Linked DNA regions of Lonchura striata. The protein of the gene in region 1 purifies or fractionates together with the protein of each later gene. This does not show direct contact. Links are inferred from orthologs where the notes say so. Each region holds a gene or a part of one and is shown in the gene's direction. Other genes may lie near its edges.

What was found. Proteins that work in one complex are often made in the same cells at the same time.
Region 2: the proteins of CMTR1 (region 1) and DHX15 purify together in Homo sapiens (co-immunoprecipitation; 3 studies listed by BioGRID and IntAct, with this or other methods). This does not show direct contact. The link is inferred for Lonchura striata from reciprocal best matches to the Homo sapiens genes CMTR1 and DHX15.

What each region holds. Positions count from the first base shown.
Region 1 is NC_134605.1:29,906,653-29,914,088, reverse strand, and holds the start of CMTR1 (cap-specific mRNA (nucleoside-2'-O-)-methyltransferase 1), read left to right. Parts: upstream 1-4,180; 5' UTR 4,181-4,320; intron 4,321-6,059; exon of another isoform or gene 6,060-6,076; 5' UTR 6,077-6,091; coding exon 6,092-6,221; intron 6,222-7,436. UniProt on the Homo sapiens protein: S-adenosyl-L-methionine-dependent methyltransferase that mediates mRNA cap1 2'-O-ribose methylation to the 5'-cap structure of mRNAs.
Region 2 is NC_134606.1:18,206,859-18,214,562, reverse strand, and holds the start of DHX15 (ATP-dependent RNA helicase DHX15), read left to right. Parts: upstream 1-4,608; 5' UTR 4,609-4,773; coding exon 4,774-4,841; intron 4,842-7,704.

The sequences.
Region 1 (7,436 bases):
CTGCTCAATGTAATGAATGAGTTTGTATTGCATCATTGTCCTTTCCTTAATGAATTACATGTTTACATCAGCATCTCTTATTTCAGGCAGCAGAGGGAATGTCCCAAGCCTTTTGAGAACTTGGCCACCCCCACCAGCAGGCAGGAGATAGGTATATCGGGAAAAAGTGCCATTGTGGGTTTTCCTCTTGAATTTCATGTGGCAACTAGTCATCCCAGCCTTTGGCATTAAAGGTGATAAAGGGTGGGATATGGACACTGTTGGCTCCAAGTGCATTGTAAACTAGCTGCTGGCCATCAGCTTGCTCTGTTTATGTAGCCCATTTTCCATTAGATAGGGATAAAGGAGATTAAATCTTCCAGAAATCTTTAGCTAGTGTTCTTTTTATGTAGTGTCTTTGGTTTGTTCCCTCTTCAGGTTTTTACATAAAGGGTTTTAGAACTGGGAAACAGCACATCCACAAATTTTTAGCAATGACTTTAAAAACATATAATGAGCAGCAGAAGAACCTCTGTATCTTCAGGTGTGCTTCTCTCCAAATTACTGAAATGTCCTGTTGTCAGGGTAGGAAAGCAGCATCTGTAGACAACCACAAGGTACAGAATTAAGCACTTTCATTTTATTGTTTACAAGACATAACTTGAGATTATGGATTGTGCTACCCTCATGGCAAATCACTCGTTCATAAGAGACCAATCAAGTCTTGCCTTATCCTATCATGTATTTGTCTATTGAGTTCCATTTTCTAGTGGCTTATGCTTTTGACTTAGTTGTTACATGGAAAGGACATTTACACTGTGAGAACAGGATGGGGAAGCCCTTTTCATCTGTAATATTTCTTTGGCTCTTTGTATATACCTTTTTGTTTCTATCTTTACTTTGTTTAAGAACAAAAATGTAAATCCATTTCTGCATTAGTCTTTTTTGGTGCAGCCACTGAGATGTCTTCTAGTTGTCTTTAGACTTTTTTGAGAAAACAGACTATCTAATTTAATGACTTCATGTTTTGATTGCTGTATGCAGTGTGACTACTGTAAAGTTAATTGAACAATGTTTGTATTCAGGAGCTGATCAAAGCCCAATCCTTCAAGACTGTGACTACCCTAATGCTAATTTAAAAGCTACAATAGCTAGCTCTTACCTGCTTTCCCCGAGAAAGATCCCAATAAAAAGGTGCATGAATGATGTCCTAAGGAACCAGTGTATTCTGACATATTTGGTCAATAGGATTTAAACAGGCGGGTCCTGATCAGTGGGCCAGGCAGCTTGCTTAAAACTTTAGTGTAAGGTTTCTTTTGTGGAGACATTATATATTCTGTATTCTTCTTTCTCTTTTAATGTTCACTTTCTGTGTGTGTTCTTGAGAGTTTCTTTTGTGAATAGATGCTTCCTAGAATGAGCAAGAGAAGAGCATTCCTCAAAATGCTAATGAAATAGGCTGATGTGGAACAGGCATTTCCAATGAAGAGGAATAGAAGGAAAATACTCTGATTACATAGGACTGCGAATTCTTCGGCTCGGTATCTCTTCCATACTATGCTTTTTGTCTCATTTCATTTTGCAAAATACATATTTATTTTATTATGTTGGTGTTTATGCATATTGCAGAGAAGGATAATACTTCCCCTGGTGTGGCAATCTTTGGTTTGGTTTCTGAGTGTGTCTTCACTAGAATGCAAAGAATGTAAGTGGTGTATTCCAAATTGTTTTCACTTTTACTGGTAGGTGCACAGTGTGTAAATGTCCACAGAGAGGGATTAAGTATTAATATTGCCCACTTAAAAAAGCTTTTCACTGACAAAAGCAGACCTGTATATCTGCAGTGTGCTCTCCTTTGCTCTAAGGTCTGGATGCTTTTTTCTACTTGTTGTCTACTTGGTTCTACTTTGTTGAGCCCTTGGTGATGTTATGCCCTGAACTGTTGCCTGTTTTAGGATGGCATCAAGTGCTTCCAGATGTCAGGTTACAACTGAGCTAGTCACAGACGATGCTGGGCAGGTTCAAGACTTGCTGTTTTCCCTTGGAAGACAGCTGTCAGGTAGTGTGATAATCAGACACTTTCAGGGCAATACATTGTCAGCATCAGTGGAAGAGCTGGGAAGGAGTGCAATGAAAAGGAGACCATCACTGAGGGATGTTTACTCCACTGAGGGACCTCCACTGAGGGATCTGTGGAGTCCAAGGCCAATCTGACAATCTTGTGCAAGAAAAATATACCATGTGTGGTGAGCCTGTCACAGGCAGAGTGGGAGCTTCAGACAAAGTTTAATTATTAAAGAAGCCCTCCCATTGAGTCACGAGGTGAAGACAGGGCCCCCTTGCTTTCTAAAATCCTTCTCAGAGGAGCCTGGATGTGGCTGGATCCATTCTTAGCCCCAGACTGTCAGTGGTTCGTGTCGAAAGGATTATATAGGTGAAAATGAACCTTTATACAACTTTGTCCTGAAGGATTTAAGGATGCCAAACCAGATATATAAATATGTATGATTTATTTTGATAATGATTGGACAAAAGATCTTTATCAGAATTATTTACCACAAAGTATAGGAGGTGGAACAGCTCTTACAGTGCACTATGATGAAATACTGAAGCAGTTGTTTTAAAGCAATTGTATTAAAACTGGGGAAGAAAACCCAATTAAGTTGAGATAATGTTATTCATCCATGACTGTGGACTAATTTCTTTTGCTCAGTCATGAGGAGTAACCTTGAGCAGCATCCCCAGTCAAGGGAGAAATCTCCACACATACACTTCAAGAAAGGGGTATATTAAAAGACCATGCCCTTAAAATTAGGGACTGGGCTTTGACGGTATAAAGTTACTGTCAGTCATAGGTCTCCAGGCTAGCTGTGTCAGCTCAGCAACTTTAGATAAATTATCCATAGTATCACTTACTGGTTCTGGGTATTTTACCAGGTCTGTCCTATCACATCTTCATCTCACTATCAGGATGTTTAATTTCGGGACTGATGAGTCATACTGGCTTCAGCATTACTGTGTATCAAAAGCAGCATGATGACCCCTTCTTCATTTACCATAGATAGCTTTTCCCATAGTCATTGTTTGAGTTGTTTTTCCCATTCCAGGCAAGCATCCTGCTCCAGAGCTTTAGCAACAACTGTCAAATTTAACTGCAGAATGTGTAACAGGCAATTCAATAATCCAGCTGTGCCCCCCTTCCCCCAAGTTGAAGTGCAGGTTTTCTTTTCCAAAGATATGCTCTGACTAGTCAATGTTTTACTTCCTCCTCCTCATCTTCCTGTCCTGCCATAACTCAACCTATTAGACATACAGTTAACAGCAACTACATAACCATGAGCTATACTTCTCAAGCAGGATCCTTCCTTCTCTCGATACCTACCGTGTTTGCTTTGGTTTTGTGAGACTAAGCATTCAGACTTGTGTGCTGAGCTGTATTTCCCCAGGGTTCGAGCTTAATGCAAAGTACAAGACGGCTCCCAGGATCAGGCTGGAAAAGACCTCTGAGGTCATCGAGTCCGGCCCATGACTGAACGCCACCATGGGAACTAGACAATGGGAGTGCCACTTCCAGGCTTTCCTTAACACCTCCGGGGATGGTGACTCCACCACCCCCCCGGGTAGCACATTCCAATGTCGAATCGCCCTTTCTGGGGAGGAATTCCTCCAGCTGTCCAACCTGAACCTCCCCTGCGTAGCCTGAGGTTGTGCCCTCGTCCTGGCAGTGCTTGCTGGGGGAAAGAGGCCGATCCCCGCTTGGCTACGACTCCTTCTGGGGGTTGTAGAGAGCGATAAGGTCACCCCTGAGCCTCCTCTTCTCCAGCCTAAAAACACTCCTACCTTCCGCTACGCTACACGGTCGATAAACATTTGTATATCCGTGTATTTACAAATTATTAAGCAGCGTTTTCCGCGCGGGCGGGGCTGCCCGGGACCCGCCGAAGGGAGCGGGCCCGCGGGCGGTGCGTCACTGCCGCGCGCCGGCGGCCAACGAGGCCCCGCGCGAGGGGCGGGCCGGGGGCGGGGCCGGCGCCGCGTCGGAGCGGGGAAACGAAAGCCCTTCGGAGCCCGAGCCCTTCGGAGCCCGAGCCCTTCGGAGCCCGCCGCCTGCCCCGCTTTCGCCGTGAGTGCCGCCCGCTCCAGCACGGCGCTGTCCGCCGACCCCGGCCGTGTGCGGGTCAGCGCGGGGCGCGGCCGCCGGCGGCTCCGGCCGTCTCCCCGCTGCCCGCCCTCCGCCTGCGGGCAGGTCTCGGCTCGGCCTCTGCCACCGGGGGCTGCGCGGCGGGCGGCGTGACGGCGTGAGGCCGGGAAGGGCAGCGAAGCTGGGGAAGGGTTTGCAGGGTAAGTACTGTGAGGATACGGGCTGAGGGACCTGGGGGTGTTTAGCCTGGAGAAGATTAGGCTCAGGGGAGACCTTATGGCTCTCTACAACCCTCGAGAGGAGGGTGTAGCCAGGAGGGATTGTCCCCTTCTGCCAGGCAACCAGGACAAGAGGACACAGCCTCAGGCTGTGCCAGGGGAGATTTAGACTGGACATCAGGAGGAATTTCTCTGCAGAAGAGGTGATGAGACGTTGGAGTGGATAGCCCAGGGAAGTGGTGGAGTCACCATCTCTGGAGGTGTTCAAGGAAAGACTGGATGTGGCACGTAGTGCCCTTGTCTAGTTCCCAGGGTGGTATTCACTCATGGTTTGGTTTCGATGACCTCAGAGGTCTTTTCCAACCAAAATGATTCTGTGAGCAGCCGGTGGTGCGGTACAAGGGGGCTGTAGGGCATGGGTGGGGATGTGGAGGAACTTTTCCTCGCAGCTGCAGGACTCCTGAGGGACCGGGTGTCCCTAACTTGCCCCTAAATTTGCATGGTTTGAAATTTGTCAGGAAGTCAAGTGTGCTGAGGGACCCTTAGTGGAGTTTGGAGGGTGGGGCGTCTTGATAGGGGGCTGGTAAGAGTGAGCTAAGAGTGTTGGTCTCATTTGGCTCTCTCAGAAGAAATATAAAATGGATGGTTTATTAGAGATAAAGAGTAAAAAACCAAAACCCTCAACTGAGGCAAGAGCAGGTAAAGGTTAGTTGTCTGTAATATAACTTCTGGTGGAAGGGAGAAGATTTCTTAGCCATAGTGCAGTGAGGTTGTGGGATCATTTTGCAGTCAGAGTTGTGGGGATAAAGAAAGGATTTAGCCTTAAGCTGCCTTGTATGTGTTTGTGGAAATAAGTTTGATAACTAAAGGTTTGAACTGGTGACCTGGGGTATCTTATAGCCCAACAATTCTATTTCTATGTCGTATAAGAAACACTAATCAAGGTACAGTTTCTTTTTTTTTTTTTTTTTTTTCAGTTGCAGGGAGGTTTTAGCTGGTCTGCTAAGCATTTTTGCCTTTAAATTTTTCCCTTTTTCCCTTTCCTTGCTTCTTGTCTTCTGCAAGCCTTCCAAGCTGGCTTCTATTAACTCCATCTTAAGCATTAGACCTTTCTCTGAGTTTGTGCAAATTTATTAGCCACATCCAGAAACTGGATATTTTGCCAGTGATTCCTGGTGAAAAACACAACTGCATGCACAACTTGAGCACGCATATTTAACAAAGTTCTGTTTTAAAAGCCATGCAGAAAAGCTCCTTTATTAAGATTTGCAGAGGTGAGGTCAGAGTTGTTTGAAGTCTTGTGAGGAATTGGTTCCACATTGAATATTCTCCATTAGATGGACCTGACATTTTTTCAGTGTGTTTGGATAAAATGAATCTTCGATTCAGTAGTAGTAATGAACTGCCATATATTTAAGTTATTTAACAGTCTACATCTGGGTAACTTGATCTACTTGCATTTGGGGATAAGTAGGTTTGCAGAAGTGATTTGAAATTCATCAGTTATAGGGAAATTTCTATATCAGTTTCCCATTTGATTAGTTAAACTAGGTGTTTACAAAAACGAATTCAAAAGAAGCTAAGAGTTTAACCTAAAGACATTTATGTTGAGAATAATACTGATACTAATACTGAACAGCATAACATGATCTGTGCTACCATGCTACTGTGCATTACAGAAAGTAATGCTTAATGTTTGCCAAGTGTGATCTTCTTCTTCTTTTCGTATTATTTACAGCTCATACAGGAAACCATGAAGAGAAGGACTGAACCGGAATTTAGCAGCCCCCAAAATAAGCAGAAGAAGAGCAGAGAAGACTTGGGATTAACCCTCAGTTCTACTTCAGATGATGAAAATCAATTTAGTAATCATACTACTCAAGGTAAAGTTGGAGATCTGGAATGTGCTGCTGCAGGGGATATAAATAATAACCAGGAATAGAACCTGCATCTCCTGAATCCTAATTGATAGCCTGAATTTCAAGGATATACTCTTTTTAGGAAAAAAGCTACATTATTTATTTTCATAACATTGGATTGGTGTGAATTATTTTAGGCTTTTTATAAATCTTACATAAACCTTTTAATCTGGGAATTATATGAGTTTAGATGTAGAAAACTGGATTTGAGGTAGATGACATGCATGATCCAAAGCTCTAATCATTCTTGTCATACTGATCTTTTCAGTCTCAGCAGTTATTTCTGGTTTGGAAACTCAGTACTGAGGTGTTGTTGGTATTACACCATAAAGAAGCATTATAATCATAATTTTGTTGAAAAAGGAAGAAAGAAGTCAGTAGTCTTACCATATTTCTGCAGATGGGAGAAACTGAGATGACTACAAAGGGACCAGTTGGTTGGAGCTTTTATTTTGTAGGACCATCTCTTATGCTGGCTCAGTGTGATTTTGCCAGGGGACAGAGTTGTGAAAGCTCACAGGTGTTTGTTGTCAGAAAGATCTATTTCAGAATTAACTAATTGCCTACTTTTTCTTGGAGTGTGCTTTCTCACCTGGAGTTGGGATGTACCACAGATGAGGCATATGACCTGCACAATTGGTATGGGTGTTGTGGGACACTGAACTTTCCCAAGATGGTCCTTCACATTGCCTCACTGTCATGCCTGCTATGTCAGTTTTAGGATTGCTCATGGTCATGAAGTGTTCAAGTGCCTGAACACATAAAGCCTTCCCTTGTGAAAATGGAAGTGAGTGTGTGGGAGTAGCTGTAGTTGCAGGGTATAGTGTGTGTGTACCTGTCTGAGGAGGTCAGAGGTGCAGAATGTGAGAGCTGAGGTAGGGAATGCTCTGTGCACTCAGGGCTGAGCTAAAAAATTCAAACTGATTTTTTTTTTCTTTTTTTTTCTTCCTTTTAATTATTGAGTTCATACATGAATCAAAATAGGCTGTAAGCCTTAGTGTTTAAGAAACAAATTGATACAGCTCAAGGACAATATTTTGGGTAGAGTTAATTGTTTATTAGTGTATTACACCCATTTTGGTTTCTAATGAAAGAAGGGAGGTTGGGGAAAGAATTGATTTGAGATTTAATCTCAGCTGAGCATGGTTTAGCAAATCTAAAAAAACAAGAAGAGTTGTG
Region 2 (7,704 bases), on another chromosome or scaffold:
GATCATTATACTCAACACAAATGGAACAAAAAATGTATACTAATATAGACATTTTCCCTTCTGCTGATGTGGAAAATTTGTAAAGAAAATTCATGAAAGAATCAAAAGAAGTGCCAACTGAAAAACTTGCATTGGTTTTTCTTCTAATATTCTAGTACAAGATTAAACAACATTCTTGAAATTGTGATCTTCTGTGGCTTTAAACAGTTCTTTGTGAAATAGCTACTACTTCCTAAAAACACCTTATATTTAGGGATCTTCTCACATGATTTCAGACTTGGCATAGAAAGCAGTTAGATTTTAAGGAATTTAAAAGATAAACTGCCTCCACATGCAACATATTAGCCTTTAGTTTCAGATGTTTCCGAATGCAGAAGGCATTAAACAATGACATTTTAACCATGAAGATCTGGAAGTTAGGAGAACAATGTGGGAATTCTGTGTAACTCATATAAATTAGACATATAATTTAATTTACTTGGGGGTGATGATTTGGTTTTACACTATTTCTTTGATTTCTATTCAAAGCACATAATGAATACCTACACTTGCAGGGTTTCTCTGAGGGGATTAAAAGTGATCATAAGGCCTTAACAGGTGTCTGAGGGGCTCAGAATAGCAGCTGATTGTCTACAATATGTTTCCTTATACAGAATGGGATTTGTTTTAAAAAGTGATTTTTTTTACTCTGGTTAATGTTCTAATAGATACAAAAGCTGCAGTCTCTCTCTTCCTCTCTATCTTTTTCTTCTTCTTTATAAAACTTTACTGAAGCTATTCAGACCTTTCTGACCTGCAGATGCAGTCACAGTAGTATGTTCTATATGGGATAATATTTAATAACCATTCACAAAATTTAGAAGTGTGCCTGTATGGCTGATAAAGTTTGCTGTTATGGCAATAGTGCTGTTGCCATGCTGTCTTCCTAAAGCATACTTCCCAGAGCAATTCAAAGTCCTGATTTATATATACTTGAAGTGTTGCAAAGTTTAGCCTCTGTAATTACAGAGATGCTGCCTCTTTTCTTCACTGCAGAAATTGAGATCAGTTCATGTATTCATCTTCATATTTTTAATTTGAATGATGTGGAAGTCTGACTTTTTAAACATGCTCTGATTGTGGGTTCTTGTCTCAAGGATTCTTTCCCTGATGATATGATAGAACATGAGGATAATATCCATTTATTCACATGGGCTTGGTGGGGGAGGATAGAATGAGAGCTTGTCACATTTGCATTTAAGACTCCTGGATAATTTTCCAAGGGTATTACCCATTTTTATATATATATATACATAAAATTTTTAAGCAGCTATTGCAATTATAGTAAGAATTTAATTTTAATATTTTAATTAATTTGCAGGAAATTTTTCATATAATGTTTTGTATACCTATTAAAAAATAGGAGTTAAATGCATTTTTAGAAAGGAAATTATTTTTTTAAAAAAGTGGCAGTACAAGTGTGTCCATGGCATTGGGAGCATATAAAGGCTGTAGCTTAGGGTCCTCTGCTAGCCATATCATAAAAGAAATACATACTACACAGGTTTTAGGGCTCTAACACACAACTTTTAGAAGATTTAACCTTTCTTAGCTGTCTGTCTTAACACACTGCTCAGTATTATGGCTTCCATTACAAAAGAGGTTTGTGGTTTCACTTCACCATCCCCTGTTATAGCTTAAGCCAGTGAAGGTGAGTTTTGACTAAGAAGCTAGACTGGATAGATCTCATGTGTTTTACAAACTCGGTAATCTCTAGAAAGGGGTGAAGCAATTAGCCTCAGGCAATAATAGCCTAAACTGTAACACTATGACACTAGACTTGTCAGAAACCTCACACCACCCAGGTGAGGGTCCCAGGGTCTCTGAATTACAGCTGGTTTGAGACCCACACTTATTCTTTAAGAGAGAAGGCAACGCACAATCAGGAAAAAAATAGACATGATGTTATTCCCCTAAGCTATTGTTTCAGTTTTAAGTGTTAATGGTCCTTTCAACCCCAATAGCATAAAAATACCTCCATGTCAAATGTAAAGAAATATTCACTGAAAGCTGGCTAAGAGGATTTTGATACCAGTGATTTTAAAAGTAGGGTAAGATGTAGCATTACAGTCCTTGGGTGGGCAAGGATAGGTTGGATTCAAATCTACACAGGGACCTTCAGGCAATGTCACTCAGCCCTAAATGCAGATGTATCATTGGCCAGAGAGCAGGATGGTGCTAAGACCTCAATGAATCACATGCGTAAAGTGGGGAAATTGGAGCTCCTATAAAGAAGCTGTGGGAATAAACTCGAGGCTGTTTGTCTCAAGGACCATTTGAGTGCATGTCTTCTTGGTCTCCAACATGCACTTCCCATCATGCTGCAATAAGAAACAGAGTGTAGAAGACTGGATAGTCAACTGCAAGCTCATACAAATGTGTTCTGTTTTAGTAACCCAAGAATTTTACTTTTATAGATGGATGTAAAAGACCTTGTGGGGGGAAATAAAAACCTCTTTCTTAACAAATGCCTTTGAAAAGGCAGAAAATATGCTTAAATGTGCCCTATTTTACATATCCCTTTCATCCTTTAGGCTTTTGACGTAATGCTTATCACTTTGCCATTATATCAATTTGTGCTTACCAGTCTTTTTTTCCTCTTGTCTCATCTTATATTTAGGCAATGATCCTGCAAACACTTACCTACATGCTTAATTTTGCTACTCCTTCCTTGTTAATCCCTTTGAAGTTAAAAAGGATTATTTGCATTAGCAAAATAAGGCATGTGTGTGCTTTCAGGAAGAAGTTCTTATGTTGTAAACCCTTTGGGGTGGGACCAGATGAGTTATTAGGCAGTCAGATAGCTCAAAGCACGGTTGTGTGGAGGATGAGTTCAGAAGTTTGTGAAGTTAACAACTGCTAACAGAGTGAACGGGTTTGTGGGACATGCCTAGGGCATAGCACACAAGTAGTTGCTCACCCCAACTAGCACACAATCTTCTTCCCCTCTTTTCTGCATTTATTGCTGAGCTGTAGCCTCAGATTTCATACCAGCCGAGACATCTGCTTTTTTCTTACCTCCTAAAGCAGAAAATTCCCTGATATTTGCCATAGGGTAATCTAGAGCAAGACCATAAATAGATTTATGCTGGTGTGCGCAGGAAGGAGAAATAAAGATCTGAAACAGAGCTGCAGAGTTCTCCATGCTCACATTGTTGTACCCTTGCAGCCTTCTCAGAACCTCCCAGCACTAGCTTCTCATCCCAGCTAATGCATGTAATGCTTTTATATTCTTCTCATTCTTCCCACTTTCCAGGGAGACCTAGCCATGATTTTTTCCCCTCTTAAATGTGTCCTATTCAAGTACTCTATTTCAATGTACACTTGCTTTTGTTTAAGATAGATATAATTTAAAACTCACTTGGAAAGATGTGTGGGAAGTCTTCCCTTAGCTGCATTCAGCCAATGCAGCTCTGTATAGAATACCATAGCATAACGAGTAAGCTTGATATTTGGGATAGAGAGAATTACCCTGTAGTGTTTATCCTCTAGAAACCACTGACATGGATATTATAGTATTTTTTGTTGTATAACTTTAAAAAATTACTCCCAGCTTCACAGGAAAAGTTCAAACTCCAGTTTCCAGGAATATTTATTTTGGTTTATAACTCTAAGCAGAAAAATCTTATTTTTATTACACTAACATCTAGAGCTCCAGTAGAGCTGTGTAGGCCATTTTGTTCTGTTATCTAAAACTAGGGAGAGAAATGATCTTCTATCAAAGAAAATAACCTATGGATTTGTCTACATTAAATGCTCTAATAAATATATTAAAGTAATTGCAACAAATCTTTGTAACTGGAATCTCTGGACGAAACCCCACTCGGCGAGCTGTCTGCACTTGTGGAACAGGTCACTGCTGCTAGGTGATGTTTCCTGACTACGTTCATGTTTGTTAGCTGCGTATGTGAACGCACCCTGGCTCCAACAGTCGGGCAGCAGGAGCGAGTGCTCATTCAAGGGGCTCAGCAGAGGTTGTAACCTCGAGCAGGGCTGTGAAGAGGGACAGGGAGCAAGCACTGGTGAGGCTGCACCTCAAGTACTGTGTGAGGTGCTGGAGTATGATCAGAGAAGGGCAGAAAGCTTGTGAAAGGTCTAGAAACCATGTCTGATGAGGATGGGCTCAGGGAGCTGGGGCTGTTCTGCCTGGAGGCGGCTCAGCGGGAACCTCATGGCTCCCTACAGGAGCCAGGTGGGATCTGTCTCTTCTGCTATGCCTGCAGCGAGACGGCCAAAGGAAATCGACTGAAGCTGAGACAAGGAAGATTCGAATTAGATGTTTAAAAAAATCTTTCCGTGTTAGTGTGCTCAGGAACTGGAATAAGCTGCCCAGGAGGGTGGTGGAACTACCATCCCCAGAGGTGTTCAAGAGGTGCTCGGCTCTGGCGCTGAGCGATGTGACACAGTGGTTACAGTGGCAGTGCTGGGTTGGGCGGCTGCGCTGGAGGATCTGAAGGGCCATTTCCAGCCCGGGTGCCGCTGTGGCTCAGGGATCCCCTGACGGGCGCTGTCCCGGCCCGCCCTCAGCCGCGGGGCGGGGCCGTCGGGCTCGCGCCCAGGAGAGGCTTTGGCCAACGGGCCCGCGCGCCAGCGCCTCGCGCGGTCCCGGCGCTTCCTTCCGGCCGCCATTTTGTCGGCCGTGCCTCGCCGTGCCGCCGCTCGGGGAGGGAGCGCAGAGCACCCGCCCGCCGCACCCGGACCGACCGCCCGCCAGCCACACCGACCGCCATCGCCATGTCCAAGCGCCACCGCCTCGATCTGGGCGACGATTACAGCTCCAGCAAGAAACGCACCACCGACGGGTGAGGGGTGGCGCGGGCGGCGCGGCCTGCGGCGGGGCGGGTGGGGGGGATCGCGGCGGCTCCCGCGCCATCCGCGCCCCATCCCCGGCTCCGGCCGCCCCTCCGGGGCTGCAGCTCCCCGGGACGCGGGGCGGCCGCCTTGCGAGGCAGGGAGAGGCCGCAGCGACGGCGCCTCGGCCGAGCAGGCCCCGAAGTCTGGCGGCTCCCCGAGCGCGGGGCCTGGCTCGGAACGGCCGCCCCGCCGGGCGGGCCCTTCGGGGGGCGGATGGCGGCGGCGGCGGCGACAGCGGCGGCGGGGCCTCGCGCGGCGGCGCCGGCAGGGGGAGGGGAGGGAGGGGAGGGAGGCGCCGGCCCGGCCGCCGGGGCAGGGGGCTGGGCTGGGCGCCCGCTGCGGGGCCCGCGCCCCCGCGCACGCTTTGTTTGCAGCTCTTCGCCTTCGTACTTATATTCGCCTTTTCCACTCCTTGTCCTCCTTCCTTTGTGTTTGTTTACTTATTCTCTGGCTTGAAAGGTCTGGCGAGCGTGGGCCTAGAGGTGAGCACGAGGGTTGTGCAGCCCGTGTTATTAGTGCCTACTCTGGTGGGAGCCTTGTTCCTTTGTTAACGTCTTTTCACCCAGTCACCCTCGGTGATGTGCTTGCCCTGAAGTAAGAATCGATGGTGAGGTGGGTTTTGAGTTAGGGGGCAAGGAATTGTTTATTTTTCTCTTAGTTTTGCGGGGTTGAAGTTTTAGGGCTGTACTCGAGCATATTTTTGTTGAGGTTAATGTAATTGCAGGAACACAGACAATGCACTGGTGCTGTTCTTAAATTCAGCGTTGATTTAGAGCTTTCTTTACACATTATCTTTTCCTCTCTAGTTGGGCAGGAGGGGGAGGAAGGGCAGTCAGCTCTTGAAAGTAAATTTCTGAAGTTTTAAGGAGTACAAAAAAATGCAGTGTTTATCTAGTCTGGCCTTCTTTATGGAGCACAGCAAGCTTCCGTGAATTAAACACTTGTTTAAGTCCATCAGCGTTGTTTTGGACTAGTTATGTAAGAAAAAAAAATTTCAGTTTTCACAGGTTAAATAAGTCGAATGTAGCAGTTAATAGTCACTGACAAACAGTCTTTGCAAAACTTGCCTTTTTTAAGGTAAGCTTGTACAGCTTCAGTTTTTAGCCCCTAGAGTTTGATTCATTTTTCTCAGCTAAACAAAATAAGTCTTTGTTATTCTACTTTTACTTTCTGTCTGTAGGATCATCATAATCACGTTTTATAAAATATATTGAGCTATTTGTGTTAGTTAATGCATTTTTGTAGGATTTCCCAGAGTTTGAAATAGTTCCTCTGAGTGTACAGAAATGTACATGTACAGTTTTTCTGTGGTACAACTGTTACAGCTGGCTGTAGCGATAATCATGGGTCAATATTTCCTTGTTTGTATGTTGGTGGATTTTGTAGTTTTGGTGTGGCCTTGTTTGTCATTGTTTTTACTTATCATGAATGCTATTCTGTGCTCTTGGTGCTACCATTTTGTATGTACTGCAGTGAGTTCCCACCAGTGTTAAACTAGAAGACATTGACCTTTATGGCACCTAAAAACTGTAGAAATGTTGGTCTTGTGCCCCTTCTTTGTCCTGCCCTCTGCAGGTAAAAGCATGAAATGGTATAGGACTGAGAAAAACTCACTATAAGCATAATTACTGAACATGCCATGATTATTTCTTAGATGACTTGCAATCTTAATTCACGTAGGATGAGTCATACTAATGTTACATGGCTGGTTTATTTTAGAGTAGTTCGGTTTTGCAGCTTATGCAAGGCCGTAAGGAGGATGTGTGGAGCCTTGTTAAAAGCCTGTGTGTACCTGTCTTCCTCTGTGCCGAGGTTGCCTTTCCGCAGTGTAGGTGGTTCTGGAGCTGGATTAAGCTGGATGAGCTCCTTGCGTGATTACCACTTCGCATTCAGAACAATAGTGTCTTGCATCCTAACTGGACTACCTGACAAATATGAAAGTTACTTCAAGTGAACCTGTATTTTTTAGTTCCTCTTTAATGGAGGCCTATGTTAGTATGGGTTGCTGCACATTGGCAGCAGTGCCACATGGGCTCTGCTTGGCCGACATGTTTGTAACTGGTGCAACCTTAAACATCTGCATGACATCTGTTTTCTTCCAGAATTGAAGTATTGTCTGTGAAGTAAAAAACATTTTGAAAAATAAAAGTTGTATGGAAGACTTGGTTACAGCATTTCTGTGAATTACATACATACTATTTTAAAATATGCTAATTTATTTTTAAATATATTTGAGTTGTGTAACATCAGAGTGATCTAATGGGATGTATCATTCAGACTAATTGTATTTGGTTGATTTCTGTATAGAACAGAAATTCCTTTAGCTTATTGCCTTTTTTGCATCAAATATTGCTGTTTAATAATGGGGAGGAATTATGATTTCTTAGACTGGTTTAAGCCTTCACTGTGATGATCAGTGGTTTACCTTGAGTCCTTTGTTTCCCTTTTTATTTTTATATGATTTCTAATCAAAAAAAGCATGCTTATTTAGTGGTTGCTATAGTGCTTATTTTGTGTTCATATATGTTATATGTGTGTGAATGTAAGGAAGTGAAAGCAAATAGCAGACCAGACTTTTTCACTTAAAAGCAGAGCAAAAAATCCCAGCCCCCTTCTGATCATGAAGGCTGTTACGCGTTTCAGGTGCAAGACAAATGTGATTAAATCATTACTTTAGTGTAATTTTTTGTGTTTGAGTTCTGTTTTCTCTGAGCAATAATGAAAAAGCAGCTAAAATGTAATAGTTTATAAGTAAAGAACTGTCAAGCCATATTGTTAGAAAGTTAAGGAAATTAATATGGCGGCATAACT